Linked DNA regions of Saccharomyces cerevisiae S288C. The gene in region 3 interacts genetically with the main gene of each other region. Each region holds a gene or a part of one and is shown on either strand. Other genes may lie near its edges. The genes, in order: SWC5, CSM3, MRC1 and VPS71.

Region 1 (7,525 bases), on a different chromosome or scaffold from region 3:
ACTTGAAATGAAAAAAGAATGATAGTAGACAGAAAAGCTATTATATTATAGAAACTTATCACTTGACCGATGAAGAGGAAAGCACGTTTCCTTACAAATAAATCAGCAGTAATAGTTATAAAAATATATGTATATAAAGTGTGTGAGTGTGTGAGTGTGTGAAAGGATGTTATTAAATAGTATGTTATTATTTCTTGTCGTATCTGGAGTAGTATTTCTTTGAAATTATACCGTCCAGCGTCAAAAGACCCAGAGCGCCGGCGGTTGTTGCTAAGACTGTAGAGTTAGGTTTCCCCTTCAAGAATCTGGCGTTGTGGTTCGCATACCCGTTACATAAATAACATACCACTGAAGAATGCAGCAACAAGTTGACCAAGACAACGGGATTCTGAAGTTCTAAAAAGCATACTTTGGCAAAGTCTTGCGTCTTACTGACAAAAGCTTGGAGGTAGCCGCAAGCGACTGCTGATGCACTATTTAACCGTGCCTTCAGATATTCGATAGCGCATTCCTTCTTATTGTTGTGGTGGTGACCGTCTTCAGAGTCAGAATTTGGGCTAGCGTTACTGTCGTGTTTAGCACTGGGGAAAAGAAAGATGGTCATAGATGATATACGTTAGTCAAAAGAGAACCGGGAGAAAAGATTAGGCGATACGTTTCAGATATTAGTGTACATACGTTGCAGACATATTATGAGATGCTGGAGGTAGATGTTATGTTTCTAATTGTTGGAATAGGGTTACGTCGGCGGTTTCGGTTGAAGTGGGCACATTGATCGACACTTTATATACGCAGGGACGATTAACGGGAGAGGAGGTAGCGGCGGCGTCATTGGCCGCTGGCCCGGGGTAGTAGGGCAGGGAAAGGGGACGGTGAAAAAATAAAACGTAAGTGGGACAGCAGAGATTTGAGGAGTTGAGGCAAGAACAGAGGAGAGAACGAGAAAGCGGATAAGCAACAAAGGAAAAGGAAACAAGTAAAAAAAAAAAAAGAGACTAGCATGAGAAACGAATTATACCAGTTATGGTGTGTGGCGAGTGCAGCAAGAGGGGTAGCCAAGAGCTCATTCGTAAGGGCCAATTCGGCCATGTGTGAGTACGTGCGCACGTCCAACGTCTTGAGTCGCTGGACTCGGGACAGGCAATGGGAAGCAGCTAAGGCCCTATCACAACGGGTCAAGAAAGAGTATGCCGCCAATTAGTGCACACACATACATATATTTTATATACTTACATATTTGGTTGCGTGGTATATAGAATCTCTCCTTTCGCTTCATGAATGAACTCATTCATGCGAAGTCAAAGGAAAAAAAAAATAAAAAAATAAAAGAGCGAACGGGAAGACGAGAGAAACATCAAGCGACCAAAGTAAAAGTCAAGAACGACTCCACAAGTGCGAGGGTCGCGACGTCTCTAACTTTAAAAACAGGCGTCAACCATCAAGTCCGTTTCTTGATGCCGCCGGCATTCTTCAAATCCCTCCAAAAAAAACGCCTCTATGACATAGGCGGTTAATAAAACTGGCCTTGAAACAACAGATGCAGTCATGGCTCTTCTCTTTTCCCAGCAAACGCCTTCCATTGCCTCCTTTTTTTCTCTTCCAGAACTCTCTCAGCAGTATTCTCACAAACACATCTCCTCCCCTTTAGCAAACCTCCATTTATATCCTGCGAGAAGAGCTCCTTCTCCTCAATGAGAAAATAAGCACAAAATAAACTGGGAAAAAAAATATAGTAAAAGACGCCAGCACGTTAACAATGGAACACTCTTATTGTAGACCAACCCCACCCTACACCCCCTCAAACCGAGGACACTTCAAAAGGAAAATCAACAACTTTGGCCGATACTTGGGGGATAAGCAAGCTTATCCTATTACATCAAAAAAAGAATCGTAAGACACCTTTCCTTGCAAACCAAAAATCATAACAAAGTCGAAAAACTTCCTCTTGCAGCGCCACCAGAAAAAGAAGACGAGCGAAGAAATCAACAATAAGAGCGCCCCATCCGCACTAGCACCCCATACCATAAATATTATCTCCCAACCTACTATAGCACCATTTCTTCCCATCGATAAAGAAAAACCAAATCCCGCGTTGGACATAAACGGCTCGGAAAGACAGGGAAGAGTATGAAGCAAAAAGCCAAACTAAGGGAGAAACAGAAAGCTAAAAAAAAGAAAATAGAAAACAACCAGAAGAAAACAAAAACAATAACCTTGAGCAACCGTCGTCTCAAAAACCAATTTCGAAAAACCATCATAAAAACGCCTTATGAAGAAACCATGAGCGAAGAAAAATAGCAGCAAAAAGTAGTGAGACCTGACATTAGCGGAAAACAACTTGCTTAAAAAGTCTCTTCCCGTCCATTTTATTATTTTGGGTGCCAAAAAATGTGTATTGTAACAAATTAAAAGGTAATGAGCCTCATTGAGGTCATTTCAGTTGTTACACTGAAAAGAACAGATACTACACTTGATCTAAGCCAAAAGGCAAAGAGATTCGTGGGGATTTAAAAAAAAAACAAGTAGAAACAAAATGAATAAATCTGATAACAAGTAAAGTACTCATCGATGAAAAAATGAATGTAGAGCCCTTTTTATATGTTTTCACCGAGTGGCCCATCGGAAACGGCAAAAAAAAAAAAAGAAAGAAAAAAGAAAAGAAACATAGAGCGTTGCTAGGTTTTTTTTGCCACCCACACCCATACACCCCATTACTTTGTCTGCAGCATCGTTATACACGTAGTGAAAGTGTGCAGGCCTCGGCGGTTAAAAAAATTTGAGCAGAAAAGCATGTTATTTAATACATGTAATATTTGTCTATGAAGCTTCGCTATCCTGCTGCAACTGCTGAGCAAGTTGTTGCCGGCGCAATTCTTTGTATCTCTCGTCCTCTGCAGACCCGACCCGCTGCAGAAATTCTTGCCGGGCCAAGAACCCATCCTTGTTGTGCAGCACCAATTCGTCGTTAAGTCCAGCACGGTCTACATAACTAGCCCAGTCCAGCTGAGATTTTTCTAATGTCGTTAGCTTGGGTCGTAGCCCGCCAGAAATGATCTGCTCCAACAATGGAGGCCTTTTCAGTGGCCGTCGCAAGTGTTGCCGGCTTTCATTGGACTTGGTCCTAACTGCTTTTTCCAGTTGAACAGGAGCAGCAGGCGCCTGCTGCTTAAATTTCAAACTGTTTAGATATTCTTGACCCTCCGCACTGCTGCGTGAAACCCATTTTTTCTCATGGACAGTTTCACCAGCAAACTTGTAGTTTCTTTCGATGAGGATTTTGTCCTCCTGTTGCGCGGCCGTTGTCGACCTAGCCTCCTTGGAACCGTCGAGAACAGAGCCGACTTTCCCTGAACTGCTCAAAAGACGGTTCTTACTAGCTTCCTGTAGCTCCTCCCAGATGCTGTTTACTTTTGCAGGGATCGATTCAACAGTTAACGATTCATACTTATGTGTTTTCGCATATTCTTCCTCAGCTTGCCGAGCTCTTCTAGTCTTGATCAGTCCGCCGCTCTCGCTCTCTATACGCGAATAGTCCACTTTATTTCTACCCTTATCTCTGTTCACACCGTCATCATAGTCGTCACCGCCATCGCTGGCATCACTATCGTCGCTACCACCACCTAATTTATCTTTTTCAGGCTGGAAGTCCTCGTCCTCCTCTTCTATGTAGCCGTCCTCGTCCTCGTCCTCCTTTTCGTTTGGTATAATCTTTGTCTCTACTTCTGGCATTTATAGGCTAGTGGGTTTTCTTTCTTGAAACAATATTATTCCAGTTTACGCCTTTTCGTCTTTTTTCTTACTTGTCGATTAATCCTATTCATCATCTTTAAACTTCGCTCTTTAATTCACTTTTTTTTGTCTTTCCCCGATATGGTACTTACACGAAATATCATGATACAAAAGAAAACACGTACATACTCGTCAAACGATAAATACGCACCTAGTCGTTAGCCGCATAAGTAACCTTTTTCATATTCAAACTTATCCATAGCCACATCCACTCTAACAATTTTAATCGTCCAGCGCGGCATTAAATAATCTTTCTGTAATACTCTTTAGCTCAATTATGTCCACAGAGACTACAAAACCATCAATCACTACTACACCAACTACTGTACTCGTTTCTCCCAACACGCTCAAAAGGAAAAAGGGTGAAGACACCAGCGAGGAACAACTGGAAGCAGAAATCAAACGCGTGGCCCTGAAGGATGCAGACAGCCACTCTGACAACGACCACGATTCCCCCGACAATGTTCCCTCTGATGTACATTTACGAATGCTGTGCTTAGTCAAACACGCTTCACTGATAGTAGGACACAAGGGCGCCACTATATCTAGAATAAAATCCGAAACCTCTGCTAGAATAAACATATCAAATAATATCAGAGGTGTTCCTGAAAGAATTGTTTACGTGAGGGGTACTTGCGATGATGTAGCCAAGGCATACGGCATGATAGTAAGAGCGCTGCTTGAAGAACATGGTAACGAAGATAACGGGGAAGACATTGAGATTTCTATCAACCTATTGATCCCTCATCATCTTATGGGATGTATAATTGGCAAACGTGGGTCTCGGTTAAGAGAAATTGAGGATTTGAGTGCAGCAAAATTATTCGCGTCCCCGAATCAATTGCTGCTTTCTAACGATAGAATTTTAACCATTAACGGGGTTCCGGATGCTATCCATATTGCTACTTTCTACATTAGTCAAACATTGCTAAACTTTCAGATGGAATCTCCGCAGAAAAATGTGAAAAGGTCCATATACTATCAGCCAACTCAGTTTAACTCAGTATTAATAGACCATAGCCAACCGAACACCATTTTCCATCAAAGAAACCACCAATATCATCCAAGCGATAAACTACTTTCATACAAACCCAACAAAAATTTACCAATATCATCTACTTTGTTGAGTATGGCCACACCGCAGTATACTACTGCTAGCGTTGCAAACGCAACGGCCTTTCAACCGAACTTCGTTATCCCTAATGTGACAGTCTTAGACGGCCCTGTTATCAGTCCGGCACCCGGCAACCATTTATTAATGAACTTTGTACAACAAGAGATATTCATAGATGAGAAATTTGTCGGAAATGTCATTGGCAAAGATGGCAAGCACATAAATTCGGTCAAGGAATCCACAGGTTGTTCAATTATTATACAAGATCCTGTAGAAGGCTCTTCGGAGAGAAGACTTACCATAAGAGGTACGTTCATGGCGTCCCAAGCTGCTATTATGTTGATTAGCAATAAAATTGAAATTGATAGATCAAATGCTGAACGTAAAAGAAGGTCGCCCCTCTAAATATACTGCTAGTCAATAAAAACACATAGAAAATAAAAATACAGAAACTACAAAAGGCAAAAAAAATAAAAGAAAAGGTAATAAATTGAATGAATGTAGATATATAAATATCAATAGAAATACGTACGCGGAATTATTTCTCTTTGTAACAAATTGATCAAAAGCTTTGTATTTTTTTTTTTTTTAGCTCGGCTGCGCGCTATTACAGTAATTACATGTAAATAAACTATTCCAAAGAATACAAAAGAAGAGCTTACAGTAGCCAGTCAAAGTCGCTGTGAAACATACACGGCGTTGTAGTCACAGTATGGAACACAATCTTTCACCTTTACAGCAAGAAGTATTGGACAAATACAAACAGCTTTCTTTAGATCTAAAAGCTCTGGATGAAACTATAAAAGAACTAAACTATTCGCAACACAGGCAACAGCATTCACAGCAAGAAACTGTATCGCCAGATGAGATACTACAGGAGATGAGGGACATAGAGGTCAAAATTGGTTTAGTTGGGACACTGCTAAAAGGTAGCGTGTACTCGCTTATCTTGCAAAGAAAGCAAGAACAGGAGTCTTTGGGTAGCAATTCTAAATAATGGTTTGGTGCAAGAAATTGATTCTGATGCTTTATTTTTTACGGTACACTACATTGTGCTGTGAGTTGTAATAATATAGTCTGTATATGCCAAGTGAAGAAAAAAACAATACAAACTCAAGGTGTATTATGAGGTAGGGAATACACATAACAATATATATATATACGTATGTATATTTAAATTGTATAAATGACGATCTTACCGTCTAACCCACAGGAAGAGACTTGTGTGATTTGGCCGTTGGATTCCGCAAAAGGTCTTAATTCCACAATGGCGTTTTCATGTGCACTTTCTTGGACATCTGTGCTAACTTTACCTTTCAAGTCTAATTCTTTAAACTTTCTCAATGCGGAAATACCGAAAGTTGAACTTTCATCATTATTACCACTCAGCTCGTCTGTATTACCAGATGCAGTTAAGGCAGAAGACTTGTTATTGTCTGATTTGTCTAGATTCTTCGCAAATTTCCAGCCTTCAGAGGCTTCGCTGAACAATACCGGATGACAAGAGTATCCTCCACAAACAATCTCGTGGTCGTTTATCCATACTAAGGACCTGTAAGGTAAACCTTCCGGAGCATTGACAGATTGCACTGGAGATTGGTAATCGACAACATTCAAAGTACCATCATGCGCTACATAAGCAATTCTTTCCATCTGACTTCTCCATTCCACATCATGGATATAAGAACCCTGATACCACTCCCTGATTAAACAACCAAAAGGGAATTTCTGGCCCCAGGGTGATCCGGCGACGGATTCCTTGGAATCCAAACCCTTGATAAACCCGCTGAACACACGCATAAACCCATCAGTACCACCAGCAGCTAATAGGACTCCATTTGCATGCCAAGACAGGCAATTGATGGTAGATTTGATGGGTTTCTTGATGTGCTTGGATACCCACCAATTATTCTCGTGTTCGTAATAACAAACAGCGATGATTCTAGCACTGGACCCAACAGCAAACTTATAACCATTTGGTGCCCATGTAACTGAAGTAGCTGCTCTGTTAATACGAAGAAGTACTAACGTGGGCTTGTATGTCCCATCACTCAATGGCTCCCAAACGTAAGCATTACGGTCTTGGGAGCAAGTCACAATACGACCATGTATGGAAATGTCCACAGCAGTAATGGTTTTATCATGATCTTTCAACGTTGCGAATAAAACGGGAGGTGTGTTGTTTGAAACTCTATAGACAAGACAATCTGTTTCGCATGTAACGGCTAAAATAGATTTATCTTGAGAAAAGCAATGAGAGTAGATTGGCGCTTTGACCAGCTTGTAGACGGCAACAACGGACTTGTCTTTAGAATTGGAAAATGACATTAGGAGACTCTCAACTAATATACGTTTACTTCGGCTTATTTTTCCTATTTTTCTTTGTTTCTAATCTGGAAGCTTTCTCGATCAAGATTGCTCTTATTTGACCCTTTTTCATTATAGGCAAGGCGCGGGCGGGTGACAAGAAGATTTTGATAATTGTGCAACTGATAACGTAGGATTCATTATCAACATTGTTGTTAAAGAGTAACAAGGAAATCTAAGAAATGGTTGTGCTTGTTGTCGAAGAAGTGATAGAGACAGTGTTTTTGCCAGCCAATTCTCTTTAAGAATAGGCCT
Region 2 (3,067 bases), on a different chromosome or scaffold from region 3:
TAATTGCGTCATCGTTTGACAAGAGAGTTTTATGGCACGACCTGGATTTGGCTAGCACACCTTACAAGACACTAAGATATCATGAAAAAGCCGTCAGAAGTGTGAATTTCCACAAAAAGTTACCTCTATTCAGCTCTGCCGCTGATGACGGTACCATACATGTTTTCCATGCCACTGTTTATGATGACATGATGAAAAATCCGATGATTGTGCCACTAAAGAAACTAACCGGTCATAAAGTAATCAATAGTCTGGGTGTTCTTGATGCTATTTGGCATCCGAGGGAAGCTTGGCTGTTTTCTGCCGGTGCTGATAATACGGCTCGCTTATGGACCACCTAGATAAATAATTTGAAGTAGATATTGTATAATAACGCCCAAGAAGAAAAAATCAAACACTCGAACCAGGCTCTTTCTACAAGCTTTATTTACACAATATATATAAACCTATATGTATAGATGCCCACACGCACGTTTGGATTATTACCTTCAATGACATTGCTAAAAGCCCATTTCCTTCATAGCATCCAACTCATCTTGATCTACGCCAAACTCATCTCCCCCTGGCAATAAATCATAATGAGTATGTTGTCCCTCTATATCATTCATTTCCCACTCTTCCAAACTTTGAATCAGTTGAACGTCTTCTTCAGTCATAGAGCCTTTTTCCATTTTTCTATGCGCATCTAGCCATCCTAATAAGAGCTTCTTCTCATTTTCTTCAAGGCCAACGGGCCCTTGTACCCTGAATGTCTTCAATAATGCATCCAAATCTTCCTTAGGCGGCACAACGTTGTTAAGTACCGTTTCATTATTCCCACGTTCGTCCAAAACTCGTCCTCTTCTGTTGCGATAAGAAAGGTGATAGATATCGTCATCTTCGTCATTATCGTAATCGACATTGTTTACATTCCTTTTGTCTTGCGCAAAACTATCTGCGACAATAGGCCTCTCTTCCGCGGAAGTGACATGTTCTTCAACCATAGGTGATTGTCTTTCCAGGTCTTGCCCAGTCTCCCGTGTGCCAACATCGAAACTCATGCCCATCTCGTCCCTAAAAAGGCTGACTCTATATTCTCTAAGAACTGGATCTGTTTTACCTACTGTTTGACAGATCTTCATAAAATCCTTAAATTTTGCCTTGGGAAACAATTCATGTGCCCAAAGCTGGTAAAACTGAATAATATTTGATAAGTTGTCATATGAGTTTTTTTTTGAGGAAATTCGTATCCTTTTATGTGCATTTTTCAAAACATATGGTAAACCTTTATCACTGAGTAGTTTTTCGGCTGTTAATTTTACTTGAGGCCTTCTCTTTCTAGCTGTAATTGCGGTTGGATCCGCAATGGTAGGATCAACTACTGAACCATCCAAGCCATTTGGTACAGTTGGGTCTTTTTGGACACTATCGGAGTCATTGAAACCTAGTAATAAACTGTCAAAATCTTGATCCATGACCTCAATAAAAGTTTCTGTTCACGTTTTCATGGCATTTTAATCCAGTATATCATTGATCTTGTTACGCGTCAGTTTATTATTGTCACTTTTGCAGATTATCATTACCCGGCATTTTTCCTTACCATGCTCATTAGAAAAAGAACAAAACTAAATTATACTTAGAGTTAATAAAGTGTCATAAGGTCGCAAAGGAAACTATCAGCATTGCATAGAGATCCCGGCAACTGAGAGGCACCATTCAGCTTCGAAGATTTCTTTTTTAAAACATTATTATGTTTGGAGTTAGCCGTGGCGCATTCCCCAGCGCAACAACACAGCCATTTGGCTCAACAGGATCAACCTTTGGTGGCCAACAGCAACAACAACAACCAGTAGCAAACACTTCTGCTTTCGGCCTCAGTCAGCAAACAAATACAACACAAGCACCTGCGTTTGGTAACTTTGGTAACCAAACTTCTAATTCTCCCTTCGGAATGTCAGGCTCGACTACAGCAAATGGTACTCCTTTTGGTCAAAGTCAATTGACGAACAACAATGCCTCTGGCTCGATCTTCGGTGGAATGGGTAATAACACAGCACTTTCTGCTGGTTCCGCTTCTGTTGTGCCCAATTCTACTGCAGGTACAAGCATTAAACCTTTTACTACATTCGAAGAGAAGGATCCAACCACAGGTGTCATCAACGTCTTCCAAAGTATCACCTGTATGCCTGAATACAGAAATTTTTCTTTTGAAGAATTGAGATTTCAAGATTACCAAGCTGGTAGAAAATTCGGTACCAGTCAAAATGGCACTGGTACTACTTTTAACAATCCTCAAGGAACTACCAATACTGGATTTGGAATTATGGGTAATAATAACTCCACTACTTCTGCTACAACAGGAGGATTATTTGGTCAAAAGCCAGCAACAGGCATGTTTGGAACCGGAACTGGAAGTGGTGGTGGCTTTGGCTCTGGAGCGACCAACTCTACAGGATTGTTTGGAAGCTCTACTAACCTCTCAGGAAATTCTGCATTTGGAGCAAATAAACCTGCCACTTCCGGGGGATTGTTTGGTAATACAACTAACAACCCAACAAACGGCACTAATAATACAGGCCTTTTCGGCCAGCAGAACTCAAATACAAACGGAGGATTATTTGGTCAACAGCAAAATTCATTTGGGGCGAATAATGTCAGTAACGGGGGAGCCTTTGGTCAGGTGAATCGTGGTGCCTTTCCCCAACAACAAACACAACAAGGTAGTGGTGGTATATTTGGTCAATCAAACGCTAACGCAAATGGTGGCGCTTTCGGCCAACAGCAAGGCACTGGTGCTCTTTTTGGAGCTAAACCTGCTTCTGGTGGACTATTTGGACAATCTGCTGGTTCAAAAGCATTCGGAATGAATACCAACCCCACTGGTACCACTGGTGGCTTATTTGGGCAAACCAATCAGCAGCAAAGTGGAGGAGGGTTATTTGGCCAGCAACAAAATTCCAACGCTGGAGGATTGTTCGGTCAGAATAACCAAAGCCAGAACCAATCCGGATTATTTGGACAACAAAACTCCTCAAACGCATTTGGCCAGCCACAGCAACAAGGCGGATTATTTGGAAGCAAACCTGCA
Region 3 (8,095 bases):
CCCTTTATACAAATTCTGTGCATTGCCGGCCTAGAAATATGTCAACGTTTTGGATATGTTGATGCTTACTTCGAGAAATCTTACACTAATACTTCTGGAAAAAATCAATACTAGCAAAATAGTGATATATGAGTAAAATGTATGTAGTACATGTATGAAAATTATCAAGGGCAAATTGATGCTTCAACGAAAAAGTTATTGGATTTTCAAGCACTTTTTAAATTCACAATATTTTTTTCTGGAAATATGAAATTGTCAGCGACTTCTATTACAGGAGTGTCTTTTTTTCTCATGCTATCCAACGCTTCTTCCAAGTCCTTTATAGTATTAGAGGAGCCGCCACAAGCAATAATTATCACAATGTCATCCGCAGCTAATTTTGAGCCCAGTGCATTTTCTAGGATCTTAGTGTTGTAACCCAAATGCAATGCGGCGCCACATGCCGGTTCAATCACCATATTGAATTGATGTGTATATTTAAGACAGGTTTCAATAACATCTTTGTCCTCTATTACAACGGATCTGGTGTTGTATTTGCGAGCGTATTCGAAAGTTTGATTAGAGATCACGGCCGTTCCTAGAGAAGTAGCAATACTTGTTATCTTCTTGAATTGAACTGGTTGGCCTATTTTCAAAGAAGTATTGAAAACATGACATCCATTCGTTTCCACCCCCACAATAGGGATCCTATCAGCTAAACCATACCTTTCCAAACCTTGAATAATACCATTGTATAAACCACCTCCACCAACGCTGCATACTATGCCTTTAACCTTATTCACGGAAATATGTTGCGATTTCAAATCTTGTACTATTTCATCTATCATAGATGAATGTCCTTCCCAAATATCCGGATTATCGAAGGGATGAACATAAATGGGCTCAATGACCTGAGAGTCTATTTTATTCATGACATTTGTTTTTAAAAAAGTATCTGCTTCTTTCCAGTAGGCACCACTCACGATAACCTGGGCACCGGTGTTCCTGATTTTATCTACCATTCTCTTCTTTGTCGCTGTAGGAACCACGACTGTACATGGTAGAGACAGTCTTTGACATGCTGTTGCAGCAGCAAAACCGGCATTACCGCCAGAACTAGCGAAAACCTGAGGAGATCTTTTACCGTCCTTTTGAATTCGAATGGCACTTTTCATGATGAGATTACCGATTCCTCTACTTTTGAAGGAGCCACTTGGTTGAAGGCATTCATATTTCAAGAAAAATTGTGCAGAAGCCTTTCCGGGGAAGAATTGACGTAATAATGGTGTTTTATTGTAGACTATCGACATCTCGCTGGTTAATTTTCCTGTCTCTTGTCTATCCAGCACTTAAAAAAGAGAAAACTGTATAAACATTTTCCTTTTATTTGGCGATATTTATATACCTGTGTTCCTCCTCATATTGTCCCTTTTATCTTATCTCATCGCAAACAATTTGATAAAGCTTTGGCACTATTTAATGACACTCAGTGGAATTACATTTCCGCTGGGGCTTAACAGGAGCCGCCCATGCGGAATCATGTCTCCGCGCAGAGGACTCATTAGTTTCCGTTCGCGGTGATTAGTACTCGCGAAAAGAGAAAAAGAAAAATAGTAGGAACATTTCGCAATTGATCAAAATGTAAACAGTGCAGTAAAGAATGGGACCATAAGATAGATAAGAAACAGCTCGCATAAGGAAACAAGGACACATCGATTAATGGCAACCCAAGCCCTAGAGGATATCACGGAGAGGCTTTTAATAAGGTCGCAAGAGGCTATCTTGCAATTAGATCTGTGGATACAACGTCAGCAGAGATCATCAATATGCCAGACAACAGATCAAGAGTCATTGGATAAGTTATCCCAACAGTACAACCAGTATATGTCTCAACTGAACTCTTTGTATGTTAGATCGGAATCTGTTCGAGACAAGTTGAGCAAGGAACAACAACGCAGATTGATCACAGAGGATAATGAGCATCAACGCATAGAAGACTTGGTTCGTGAATTCCAGGATATCACTTTGAGGTTGAACGAGCTGGCCACCGTCCCAAATGAAGCGCCTAATGATTCTCCACAATCGCAATCCACCAGAAGTAGTTTAGGGTCATTTCAACCTCGACCATTGAAAATAATTGAGAGGCAACGTCTGTGTATGGTAACTCCATCGAAACCACCAAAAAAATCGGTAGGCTTTAACCCCATCAATGAAGTCGATTGTCCTTCGAAAACTAACTCTTTACCGTGCTCACCTAAAAAACAACCTGCAAGAAATCGCACTTTACGTGCAGCCAAATCACATGATACTGGCTTGAACAAAAGTAAGAAACCGTCTTCCTCGGATACGTATGAGTCTTTCTTCAAAAATAGACAAAGACTTTCGTTGACCTTCTTTGATGAAATGGATGATGAAGATTTTGATTCTGATCAAGATACTATCATTCTACCAAACATAAGTACCCCTCCACATGTTGGTGTGACCGCAAAGGGTGCTGAATTCGAACCTTTAAGGAGATATAACTCTCACGAAAGTATACTATCTAACAAACCAGCACCTTCTAAGTCGCTCAATCTGGGAAGTTTCTCCGCCTCATTCTTCAGGCCATCTAATCCGACGTTTGGAACTTCGATATCAAATGTCCAAGTGAACTGTCATCCAACTGTTGCAGCGACAATGGCTCCTAGTCGTAATGGTCCTCGTATTTCAAGTTCTAAGGCGTTGTTATCATCATTCATTGCACGATCAGATACACATACGGTAAAAGAGAACAACACAAATCTTAAGCATGCATCTTTTATGGATAAGTTTAATTCATCGTTAAGCACAATATCAGAATCTTTTCAAAGTAAGAGGGGGAGAAAGAATAAGGGCATGAATGAAGAACGAATATCAAATCATAATGTAGCACAGGAACAAAAAAATAATATGGATATAAGCGTCTCTATAGAAGAATTGCAAGATGCTTTGAATACAGAACTGCTGTTTTAATTAATGCCTCCTTTACCTAACCTACTCTTCTTTTGCTCCAAATGTTTATTCTTTTTTTTTTTATTCAGAATATCTTCAAGTTTTTTTGTATCTTTTTGTATTATTATTAAACTTCTTTATAATATTTGTCTTATAAAATCCTATCATAACATGACTATGGCTTGGCCTAGACTCGGGTGCCATCTTTTTTAATGCGACTACTTCAAGACAGCTTCTGGAGTTCAATCAACTTCTTCGGAAAAGATAAAAAACCACTAATTATCAAAGCTATCTTGTCCGCTTTCAAAAAGTTTATTCGATTTTGTTTTCGTTTTCATTTTCATTTTTTTATTATGATGGTCATGGTGGTAGCGGTGGCTCCCTTCAGTTTTCCTCTTTGGTGCTATTAATTTTCTCGTTTTCCCCATATATGTGATAGAAGCTTTTGAACTCCCCACTGTCTTGTAAGACTTTAGAATCTTGACTGTCTTGTTACCTTCTTTAAACTTATCATTTATGTCTGTTCTGGACGCAAAGGATTTGATTATTGATGGATGTTTGAAAACGCCAACTAGTGATGTATCTCCATTTTCCACCTCATCTTCATCCTCTGGGCGCTTTTCTAAGTCAATTATTGTGTTTACTGTTTTTGAAGTGGTCGAATCAGTTTGAGAATTTGTGAATGACTTTATCGAACTATTCTGTTTTAGGGTATATAAATCTTCAATTGCTTCATCATTGCCATGTTGTATCCTTGATAGCTCCTTATCCGTTTCAAAATCCTCATAATTATTACTTTTTAGGAAGGATAAGCTTTTCTGCACAAAGTCTTCAGATATGATAACCTTTTTGTTCTTTTGATCTACAGGTTTCTGTTCATTATTTCCCGTATTATCACCTACATTAATGCTATTGTCCTGAGTATCTAGGTCAGTAGCCGTACTTGTAATGTCTAGGTTATATTCCTCTTCAGCCCCGAAGGGGTTTTTATATTCGATAATATCTTCCACCATACTTTCAAAAAATGCGCTCGACTTTGGGTTTTTAACAAGCTTTGCATCATCGCCAATTTCTAATCTCCTTTTTCTCATCAATTCTCTCCTTTTGAGACGATATTGTTGTAGTACGTCGTCTTCATCATCATCACTTAGTTCTAGCTCTAAGCTATTTTTTGCTCTTTTATTACGAAATCCTCCATTTTTAATGTCATAAAGAATTTTGTTTATCATTTTGATATCCATTTCCTTATTTTCTGCGGCAAGCATTTCTCTGATTTCATGAGGATTGAAATTGTTCTTGGAATAATCATCGATCATTTTTTCTAGGTCAGAATCATAGTCGTCAGATCCTTCTCCATCTGCACCACCGATACCATGCCATTCATCCTCGGATTCTTCGGCTTCCATTTCAAAGAAGTTTGTGACACCTCTTTTCTTCAACTCTTTTATCTTAGCCTCGTGCTCCTTTTCTTTCTGTTTTAGTTGCAATTTCTCTTTGTCAATCAGCTGACGGCGAATTGCTTCATCAGCTTCTTCATTGACGTATACATCATCTTTGACTTCATTTTCGATTGTATTTCTTTCGGCCATCACCTCTTCAATGTTTTGTGTATCTAGAACATTGGTTTCTTGAAATTTGTCGGTATCCTCTCCGATATTATCACCGTAATGGCCCAGATTAATGGCGATCCTTTTCGGTAGACTTTCATCAGCTTTCTCTTTGGGTTTGGCTTCGACTTCGGTATCAGAGTCTGATTCGTTAATGATATGTTTCACGTGGTGGGATTTTTTTTGCTTTAGAATAATTTCATCATCTTCCTTTTCACTATCGGATTCTCTACGATTGTCATTTTCACTACCAGATGATTCATAATCGGCAATTTCATTACCACTCAATGCAAATCCAGAAGACTCTGACCCTGAGTCAGAACCGGAATCATGGGCGTTCAATTGAAAGTCATTTTCTTCAAGTTTTTCCCTTCTCTTCTCTTTTTGTCTGATTCTTTTATTTCTAAGAATTTCTTGTTCTAGCAAGTTCTCTACTATTTCCTTTTCTTTGGCCATATCCTCCAGCTTCAGACCTTTCGTTTCAATCACTTCTTTCTGATGATCCAGAATTTGTTTCCTGCTAGCTTTCCTTAAGGTATTTAATAGTACATTATGATCAACTTTTGGGTCTTTACTTTTATTCGGCCTTTGAGACAACTTTTGATTTTGTTTAGAGAGTCTTGCCTTCAGGTTTAATATAGTCGCCTTTGATAACTGAGAGATTGGCAAAACGCTTTCATCTTTGGATAATTTAATGCTATCCATATCATCATCTCCATATTCGTCACTGTCGCTGTCGAGGTCCAGTGTTATGCATTTCGAGGAGTCAATTTCCCGTTTCAAATTATTAGCATAGGAGCTCAATAGTGGAACCCTTTTCTCATTTATTCTTGTCTCATCAGTTAGATTTAATTCAACACTTTTGTTCTCATGCAGTTCATCGTCATTCTGTACTGGTTTTGGATGTGCATTTTCCAGCTTTATATCATCGTCCTCATTTGAGGACGAATCGTCAAAATCAGCAAGAAAAGACTCTTTAGAAAAAAATTTTTTGGTTGGTATTGGCTTTTGCGGTTTTTTGTATTCGACATTTCTAGCTTTTTCCCTTTTAGAATCTTCTGAAGCCAATTCGCTTTGTATTTCCCGAATTTTTAATGTGTGTGGTACTTCATCTTGAAGTGTTTGTGCGACTGTATCTATTTGGGTTTTCTGTTCCTGATGCGTAGCCTGTGGAATACCAATTGCTTGTGTCTTATCCTCATCATGCGCAGTCTGTGGTGGTACATCCATTTGGGTGTCAGGACCACGATTTTGAATGGACTGAAATAAAGGACTAGTTCCAATAAGTTCCGTTGGAATTATAGGAATTTTCGGCGACAGAGCATTAGAATGATTGCTGGAAGTCGTAATTATTTGGGATTGTGGTTCAATTGATTTTATAGGCTGAGTTTGTGAGGTTGCACCGCTGCTATCTATACGCTGTGTAGCCCCTGGCCGTCCTGTCGTGAGAGGTGTTTTCAGCGCTTGAGAAGTTTCGTTGACGAGACCATCTTCTTTGATTAATTGGGTGGGTTTCCCGTCATTAACGGAATGGATAGGTACGTTAAACACCTTGTCTTGTTGGATGCTGACAGGTATTCTTTGCGTCTGCGTGAATGAAGAAGAGACATTTTTCTCACTGTAACTATTATCTTTAACTTCGGATTTCTCCAGCTCTTCACCACCATCGTAAAGATTAGAGATTAATTGAGTTGGTAACGAATTCTCACTCCTATCTTTTCCATTATTGTGATTCTGTTCGGGTGCTTTCTTGCCTTCTAATCTGTTCTTAACACGATTTAATGTGGCATTGGCAAATAAAAACCCGTTCCCAGTCAACTCTGGCGGATTGTCTATGTCATTGGGCCCATTTCCATTAGTATTATCGTTCTCATCTAGTATGGGAACAGCAACTTTTTTGTAGGTGGTAGTTCTCTTCTTTGCAGTCAACGAGGACAAAGCATGCAAGGCATCATCCATCACTAAAATATTTGGTGATAAGTTCAAAAGCGAATAACGAACTTCCTTAGTTGTTTGTCTGTTCTTGGTTTTTTTCCAACATAATGTGTTTGAAATGCTATTGAAGCAAACGCGTTTTACGCATTCTATCTCTTCATGACGCGTCGAAGAAGGATAAGGAAAATTTCAAGTATTGATGTATATCTCTCTGCATATGAGAGCCAGTAGAGTTGGTGTCCTAGTAAGAATTTCTTTCACTTTACAAACATATCTAAGTAAACGAAATGTGTGTGTGTTTCTATATATATATAGACATATATGAAGGATTCCGTAGCGGTGTAAACTAATTTTGGTTTGGCTTGTATGCTTCTTCTTCCGGAGCTATGAAATCTTTTGCTCTCTCTTCCTGCCTTTCGATTTCTCTTTCCATTTGCTTTTCCTTTTGCTCATTTAATTTCTTCATTTGCTTTTCTCTCTTGCTTAAGAAATACTCACCACTTTCAATTTCCAAATCAACCTTTCTAGGCAATTGGGCAGGAGGAAATGGAGTATAGACCTTCTTTTCGACGTTTCTGATCTTCTTGGGTTTCTTTCTGGCCACATTCCTCTTCTTAAACATGGGCAAGAATCTTGACCAATCTTCATTGGCTAACTCTGGCCTTTTTGCCAATTCTCTTTTTATCATTAATTCCTTGATATGATAGATAGGGTGAATATTTTTCATACAATCTTCTACTACTCGACGGACCTCCTTCAAGCCCTTGAAGGGACCCATGGCACTTACTGTGTTACCTTGTACTAGAATGTAACATTTAGTTAGAAGTTCCAAAGCCTTTAAAGTATTACCGTTAGGGCCTACAAGACGTTGTCTTCTCTTGACAAACCTTTCTTTGTTAGTAACGAAATTACCAATTTTAATAACGTCGCATGCCATGTCATCTTGTAGGATCTTAACGGCTTGCGGGAAAGGAACGGATCTCGCCAATAATTTGATCAAATCTCTGGCTTTCAAAATGATAGCGGGATCGTATGTTTTTCTAGTTGTTTTTACTGTCATAGAACCTTCGACTAAATCTAGAACACACGCTATGTTGTGTTTGTCTAGAGCCCTTGTTACATCATTCCAAATCGTCTTCAAGTAACTTTCTCTGTATTTAGGAAACAAAGTCATAAAACTGGACTCTTCAGCAAAAGGTTGACCGGATGCGTTATCCTCTTCCTTAAACTCCTCTATCTTCCATTTATCAATATCATCCGTATCCCAAGGTTTATCTCTGTTATGTGTAGACACCATCGTTTGCCAATTTGGATATTTGTGTGACCCTTTTGTTTGCTGTCTACTTTACAATAGTTAACCTCATCATCTCTTTTTTTTGAAAATTTTCATATCTCATCGCTAAAAGAATTAGAAATATAAGGAAAAAAAAATTTTCGTTTTCAGATGTGCAAGCCTGCTATAATAAGGTACAATAACTCAAGGGCATTTAGCAAGGAAAAAATGGGCAAGTGTAGCATGAAAAAGAAAGGTGTGGGCAAGAATGTTGGTGTTGGCAAGAAAGTACAAAAAAAGAGGTCGATCAGCACCGCTGAAAGGAAGAGAA
Region 4 (7,436 bases), on a different chromosome or scaffold from region 3:
AAAAGAGCATTCTACGTACCTGAAAAATGCTGCAAATGGTAATGGTGTCGATCGTCATTTCTTCGGTCTAAAGAATATGCTAAAATCTAATGATGACCAAATTCCGCCCCTTTTCAAAGATCCCTTATTTAATTATTCTTCAACTTGGTTGATCTCCACATCTCAACTATCTTCGGAATATTTTGACGGTTATGGTTGGTCTCAAGTAAATGACAACGGGTTTGGACTGGCATACATGTTGAATAACGAGTGGCTGCATATCAATATTGTCAACAAACCAGCCAAGAGTGGAGCCAGTGTTAACAGATTACACTATTATTTATCTCAAGCTGCTGATGAAATTTTTGACGCCTTGGAAAATGAGAATAAACGAAAAGCAAAGTTATGAATTTTTCACCTTTCCTCTTCAATTAATTTGTGAATATTTTTGTTAAGTATCTACACTTACATACGTATAAATAGGGGAGAAAAAAGGGCTTACGAATACATACTGATCATTACTATCTATTTCTGCACCTAGTTTCATTATGCAATTTAAAACAACTTACAGAACAAATCTTATTTCCACAATTAACGCAACTTGAAATACTATCGTAGCCACCGCAAATAGAGCATGTCGTAATTAGGGGTAACACTTTGAAGTATCGTTTATTGTAAACATTGTGGTAAATGACATTCTTATCCATCAAGTTTAGCAGCGCAGAATCTAAAAACGAATGTAAATTTCTTTTTGAACTTAAAACCTTCTTTAACGCCACAATACGATTGGTATTCTTCCTCTTTGGTTTAGGTAGTTTTGTAGATTTATACGATAATTGTATTTCCCGTAAGGTTTCTGGTTTAAGCACCCAACCATGACCATACTTGGAATGCTCTTTTACAAAAGAAGAACCACCCATTAATGCAGAGAGACCATCCGAGGTCTGTGAGATCGGTTTGGTTGTTGATTCAATTCTATCTCGTGGTACGCCTGTGAGATCACTTAATAAAGTCGGTACATTTGGTAAATCCGAGAAATTTTCTGTGTTAAGTTCCATAAACCTCCTGTCCGACTGGAGAATCTCTTGTTGTGTGTACCTTTCTTCAAATGAATGGGAATTCTTACTATTTCGGTCATCCTGTCTGCTTATACTATTGCCATCTCCCTCAGATCTCGAAGTATATAACCTGGCCTCTAAATCTGCCAGTGAGTAGTTTATGCGCTTTACGGGCCTAGAGGTGGATATTGTGCCTTGCTTATTAATCTTCTTTGAAGTATATCGACGTGCTTGAGGATCCAATGACGTGAAATATATGTCAGGATTGTAAGTTTTCTTATCAATCTCTTCAACTAGCGCCTTCATTTCGCTGTTATGAGTAAGCGATCCGTTCTTTTTCTTCGATCTATCAATGATATCGACGTTACTATAGATTGAAAGGGCCGCTTCGACTTTTGTTAATACTCACAAAGATCATCATGTTCATTATAAAAAAAGTAGTTATTAATTATCTATTACCCGGATCAAAGTTATTTCTACAGAACACAAATATTTTATTGATTGCTTCGTTACATAAAGCAACGACTAAATAAATATAAGCTCTCTAGCTATTCCACCGACTTCACTTCCTTAATGAATGGTCGTTTTTGTAATACTCCAAAAAAAATATCAAAAAAAGGGGCGAGCTGGGAATTGAACCCAGGGCCTCTCGCATGCTTTGTCTTCCTGTTTAATCAGGAAGTCGCCCAAAGCGAGAATCATACCACTAGACCACACGCCCTTGTGAACTTGTGAATCTTAGCCACTAAGGAATCACCGAATAGTAAAAGTTTTCTGACAACTACAATATTAAGCCCTTAACAACAATAATGAATATTGAGTGCATAATGTTGAAATGGAACTCTAAAATATCATTTGTTTAGTAGTATTCGTGTTACTAGTTGTTGGAATAGAAATCAACTATCATCTACTAACTAGTATTTACATTACTAGTATATTATCATATACGGTGTTAGAAGATGACGCAAATGATGAGAAATAGTCATCTAAATTAGTGGAAGCTGAAACGCAAGGATTGATAATGTAATAGGATCAATGAATATAAACATATAAAACGGAATGAGGAATAATCGTAATATTAGTATGTAGAAATATAGATTCCATTTTGAGGATTCCTATATCCTCGAGGAGAACTTCTAGTATATTCTGTATACCTAATATTATAGCCTTTATCAACAATGGAATCCCAACAATTATCTCAACATTCACATATTTCTCATGGTAGCGCCTGTGCTTCGGTTACTTCTAAGGAAGTCCACACAAATCAAGATCCGTTAGACGTTTCAGCTTCCAAAACAGAAGAATGTGAGAAGGCTTCCACTAAGGCTAACTCTCAACAGACAACAACACCTGCTTCATCAGCTGTTCCAGAGAACCCCCATCATGCCTCTCCTCAACCTGCTTCAGTACCACCTCCACAGAATGGGCCGTACCCACAGCAGTGCATGATGACCCAAAACCAAGCCAATCCATCTGGTTGGTCATTTTACGGACACCCATCTATGATTCCGTATACACCTTATCAAATGTCGCCTATGTACTTTCCACCTGGGCCACAATCACAGTTTCCGCAGTATCCATCATCAGTTGGAACGCCTCTGAGCACTCCATCACCTGAGTCAGGTAATACATTTACTGATTCATCCTCAGCGGACTCTGATATGACATCCACTAAAAAATATGTCAGACCACCACCAATGTTAACCTCACCTAATGACTTTCCAAATTGGGTTAAAACATACATCAAATTTTTACAAAACTCGAATCTCGGTGGTATTATTCCGACAGTAAACGGAAAACCCGTACGTCAGATCACTGATGATGAACTCACCTTCTTGTATAACACTTTTCAAATATTTGCTCCCTCTCAATTCCTACCTACCTGGGTCAAAGACATCCTATCCGTTGATTATACGGATATCATGAAAATTCTTTCCAAAAGTATTGAAAAAATGCAATCTGATACCCAAGAGGCAAACGACATTGTGACCCTGGCAAATTTGCAATATAATGGCAGTACACCTGCAGATGCATTTGAAACAAAAGTCACAAACATTATCGACAGACTGAACAATAATGGCATTCATATCAATAACAAGGTCGCATGCCAATTAATTATGAGAGGTCTATCTGGCGAATATAAATTTTTACGCTACACACGTCATCGACATCTAAATATGACAGTCGCTGAACTGTTCTTAGATATCCATGCTATTTATGAAGAACAACAGGGATCGAGAAACAGCAAACCTAATTACAGGAGAAATCTGAGTGATGAGAAGAATGATTCTCGCAGCTATACGAATACAACCAAACCCAAAGTTATAGCTCGGAATCCTCAAAAAACAAATAATTCGAAATCGAAAACAGCCAGGGCTCACAATGTATCCACATCTAATAACTCTCCCAGCACGGACAACGATTCCATCAGTAAATCAACTACTGAACCGATTCAATTGAACAATAAGCACGACCTTCACCTTAGGCCAGGAACTTACTGAATCTACGGTAAATCACACTAATCATTCTGATGATGAACTCCCTGGACACCTCCTTCTCGATTCAGGAGCATCACGAACCCTTATAAGATCTGCTCATCACATACACTCAGCATCATCTAATCCTGACATAAACGTAGTTGATGCTCAAAAAAGAAATATACCAATTAACGCTATTGGTGACCTACAATTTCACTTCCAGGACAACACCAAAACATCAATAAAGGTATTGCACACTCCTAACATAGCCTATGACTTACTCAGTTTGAATGAATTGGCTGCAGTAGATATCACAGCATGCTTTACCAAAAACGTCTTAGAACGATCTGACGGCACTGTACTTGCACCTATCGTAAAATATGGAGACTTTTACTGGGTATCTAAAAAGTACTTGCTTCCATCAAATATCTCCGTACCCACCATCAATAATGTCCATACAAGTGAAAGTACACGCAAATATCCTTATCCTTTCATTCATCGAATGCTTGCACATGCCAATGCACAGACAATTCGATACTCACTTAAAAATAACACCATCACGTATTTTAACGAATCAGATGTCGACAGGTCTAGTGCTATTGACTATCAATGTCCTGATTGTTTAATCGGCAAAAGCACCAAACACAGACATATCAAAGGTTCACGACTAAAATACCAAAATTCATACGAACCCTTTCAATACCTACATACTGACATATTTGGTCCAGTTCACAACCTACCAAAAAGTGCACCATCCTATTTCATCTCATTTACTGATGAGACAACAAAATTCCGTTGGGTTTATCCATTACACGACCGTCGCGAGGACTCTATCCTCGATGTTTTTACTACGATACTAGCTTTTATTAAGAACCAGTTTCAGGCCAGTGTCTTGGTTATACAAATGGACCGTGGTTCTGAGTATACTAACAGAACTCTCCATAAATTCCTTGAAAAAAATGGTATAACTCCATGCTATACAACCACAGCGGATTCCCGAGCACATGGAGTCGCTGAACGGCTCAACCGTACCTTATTAGATGACTGCCGTACTCAACTGCAATGTAGTGGTTTACCGAACCATTTATGGTTCTCTGCAATCGAATTTTCTACTATTGTGAGAAATTCACTAGCTTCACCTAAAAGCAAAAAATCTGCAAGACAACATGCTGGCTTGGCAGGACTTGATATCAGTACTTTGTTACCTTTCGGTCAACCTGTTATCGTCAATGATCACAACCCTAACTCCAAAATACATCCTCGTGGCATCCCAGGCTACGCTCTACATCCGTCTCGAAACTCTTATGGATATATCATCTATCTTCCATCCTTAAAGAAGACAGTAGATACAACTAACTATGTTATTCTTCAGGGCAAGGAATCCAGATTAGATCAATTCAATTACGACGCACTCACTTTCGATGAAGACTTAAACCGTTTAACTGCTTCATATCAATCGTTCATTGCGTCAAATGAGATCCAACAATCCGATGATCTTAACATAGAATCTGACCATGACTTCCAATCTGACATCGAACTACATCCTGAGCAACCGAGAAATGTCCTTTCAAAAGCTGTGAGTCCAACCGATTCCACACCTCCGTCAACTCATACTGAAGATTCGAAACGTGTTTCTAAAACCAATATTCGCGCACCCAGAGAAGTTGACCCCAACATATCTGAATCTAATATTCTTCCATCAAAGAAGAGATCTAGCACCCCCCAAATTTCCAATATCGAGAGTACCGGTTCGGGTGGTATGCATAAATTAAATGTTCCTTTACTTGCTCCCATGTCCCAATCTAACACACATGAGTCGTCGCACGCCAGTAAATCTAAAGATTTCAGACACTCAGACTCGTACAGTGAAAATGAGACTAATCATACAAACGTACCAATATCCAGTACGGGTGGTACCAACAACAAAACTGTTCCGCAGATAAGTGACCAAGAGACTGAGAAAAGGATTATACACCGTTCACCTTCAATCGATGCTTCTCCACCGGAAAATAATTCATCGCACAATATTGTTCCTATCAAAACGCCAACTACTGTTTCTGAACAGAATACCGAGGAATCTATCATCGCTGATCTCCCACTCCCTGATCTACCTCCAGAATCTCCTACCGAATTCCCTGACCCATTTAAAGAACTCCCACCGATAAATTCTCATCAAACTAATTCCAGTTTGGGTGGTATTGGTGACTCTAATGCCTATACTACTATCAACAGTAAGAAAAGATCATTAGAAGATAATGAAACTGAAATTAAGGTATCACGAGACACATGGAATACTAAGAATATGCGTAGTTTAGAACCTCCGAGATCGAAGAAACGAATTCACCTGATTGCAGCTGTAAAAGCAGTAAAATCAATCAAACCAATACGGACAACCTTACGATACGATGAGGCAATCACCTATAATAAAGATATTAAAGAAAAAGAAAAATATATCGAGGCATACCACAAAGAAGTCAATCAACTGTTGAAGATGAAAACTTGGGACACTGACGAATATTATGACAGAAAAGAAATAGACCCTAAAAGAGTAATAAACTCAATGTTTATCTTCAACAAGAAACGTGACGGTACTCATAAAGCTAGATTTGTTGCAAGAGGTGATATTCAGCATCCTGACACTTACGACTCAGGCATGCAATCCAATACCGTACATCACTATGCATTAATGACATCCCTGTCACTTGCATTAGACAATAACTACTATATTACACAATTAGACATATCTTCGGCATATTTGTATGCAGACATCAAAGAAGAATTATACATAAGACCTCCACCACATTTAGGAATGAATGATAAGTTGATACGTTTGAAGAAATCACTTTATGGATTGAAACAAAGTGGAGCGAACTGGTACGAAACTATCAAATCATACCTGATAAAACAGTGTGGTATGGAAGAAGTTCGTGGATGGTCATGCGTATTTAAGAATAGTCAAGTAACAATATGTTTATTTGTTGACGACATGATTTTATTCAGCAAAGACTTAAATGCAAATAAGAAAATCATAACAACACTCAAGAAACAATACGATACAAAGATAATAAATCTGGGTGAAAGTGATAACGAAATTCAGTACGACATACTTGGCTTAGAAATCAAATATCAAAGAGGTAAATACATGAAATTAGGTATGGAAAACTCATTAACTGAGAAAATACCCAAATTAAACGTACCTTTGAATCCAAAAGGAAGAAAACTTAGCGCTCCAGGTCAACCAGGTCTTTATATAGACCAGGATGAACTAGAAATAGATGAAGATGAATACAAAGAGAAGGTACATGAAATGCAAAAGTTGATTGGTCTAGCTTCATATGTTGGATATAAATTTAGATTTGACTTACTATACTACATCAACACACTTGCTCAACATATACTATTCCCCTCTAGGCAAGTTTTAGACATGACATATGAGTTGATACAATTCATGTGGGACACTAGAGATAAACAACTGATATGGCACAAAAACAAACCTACCGAGCCAGATAATAAACTAGTCGCAATAAGTGATGCTTCGTATGGCAACCAACCGTATTATAAATCACAAATTGGCAACATATATTTACTTAATGGAAAGGTAATTGGAGGAAAGTCCACCAAGGCTTCATTAACATGTACTTCAACTACGGAAGCAGAAATACACGCGATAAGTGAATCTGTCCCATTATTAAATAATCTAAGTTACCTGATACAAGAACTTAACAAGAAACCAATTATTAAAGGCTTACTTACTGATAGTAGATCAACGATCAGTATAATTAAGTCTACAAATGAAGAGAAATTTAGAAACAGATTTTTTGGCACAAAGGCAATGAGACTTAGAGATGAAGTATCAGGTAATAATTTATACGTATACTACATCGAGACCAAGAAGAACATTGCTGATGTGATGACAAAACCT

What was found.
Region 1: mutations in MRC1 (region 3) and SWC5 together harm fitness more than expected from each alone (negative genetic interaction), as found in Saccharomyces cerevisiae (5 studies listed by BioGRID, with this or other methods).
Region 2: mutations in MRC1 (region 3) and CSM3 together harm fitness more than expected from each alone (negative genetic interaction), as found in Saccharomyces cerevisiae (12 studies listed by BioGRID, with this or other methods).
Region 4: mutations in MRC1 (region 3) and VPS71 together harm fitness more than expected from each alone (negative genetic interaction), as found in Saccharomyces cerevisiae (6 studies listed by BioGRID, with this or other methods).

What each region holds. Positions count from the first base shown.
Region 1 is NC_001134.8:679,362-686,886, forward strand, and holds SWC5 (Swc5p), read right to left. Parts: upstream 3,730-7,525; coding exon 2,818-3,729; downstream 1-2,817. Other genes in the region: OM14 (Om14p), read right to left, coding at 188-581, 679-689; COQ21 (Coq21p), read left to right, coding at 1,001-1,201; telomere maintenance protein PBP2, read left to right, coding at 4,067-5,308; DAD3 (Dad3p), read left to right, coding at 5,616-5,900; ARC40 (Arc40p), read right to left, coding at 6,077-7,231. UniProt on the Saccharomyces cerevisiae protein: Component of the SWR1 complex which mediates the ATP-dependent exchange of histone H2A for the H2A variant HZT1 leading to transcriptional regulation of selected genes by chromatin remodeling. Involved in chromosome stability.
Region 2 is NC_001145.3:365,368-368,434, reverse strand, and holds CSM3 (Csm3p), read right to left. Parts: upstream 1,455-3,067; coding exon 501-1,454; downstream 1-500. Other genes in the region: ribosome biogenesis protein ERB1, read left to right, coding at 1-341; FG-nucleoporin NUP116, read left to right, coding at 1,730-3,067. UniProt on the Saccharomyces cerevisiae protein: Forms a fork protection complex (FPC) with TOF1 which is required for chromosome segregation during meiosis and DNA damage repair. FPC coordinates leading and lagging strand synthesis and moves with the replication fork.
Region 3 is NC_001135.5:15,592-23,686, forward strand, and holds MRC1 (chromatin-modulating protein MRC1), read right to left. Parts: upstream 6,516-8,095; coding exon 3,225-6,515; downstream 1-3,224. Other genes in the region: L-serine/L-threonine ammonia-lyase CHA1, read right to left, coding at 207-1,289; VAC17 (Vac17p), read left to right, coding at 1,699-2,970; ribosome biosynthesis protein KRR1, read right to left, coding at 6,838-7,788; FYV5 (Fyv5p), read right to left, coding at 7,932-8,095; ADF1 (Adf1p), read left to right, coding at 7,993-8,095. UniProt on the Saccharomyces cerevisiae protein: Required for normal DNA replication. Phosphorylated in response to DNA replication stress. Phosphorylation allows it to mediate the activation of RAD53.
Region 4 is NC_001145.3:194,413-201,848, forward strand, and holds VPS71 (Vps71p), read right to left. Parts: upstream 1,344-7,436; coding exon 501-1,343; downstream 1-500. Other genes in the region: carnitine O-acetyltransferase CAT2, read left to right, coding at 1-388; YML040W (gag protein), read left to right, coding at 2,216-3,538. UniProt on the Saccharomyces cerevisiae protein: Participates in the catalytic exchange of histone H2A for the H2A variant HZT1, an euchromatin-specific factor, leading to chromatin remodeling and changes in transcription of targeted genes. Indirectly involved in vacuolar protein sorting.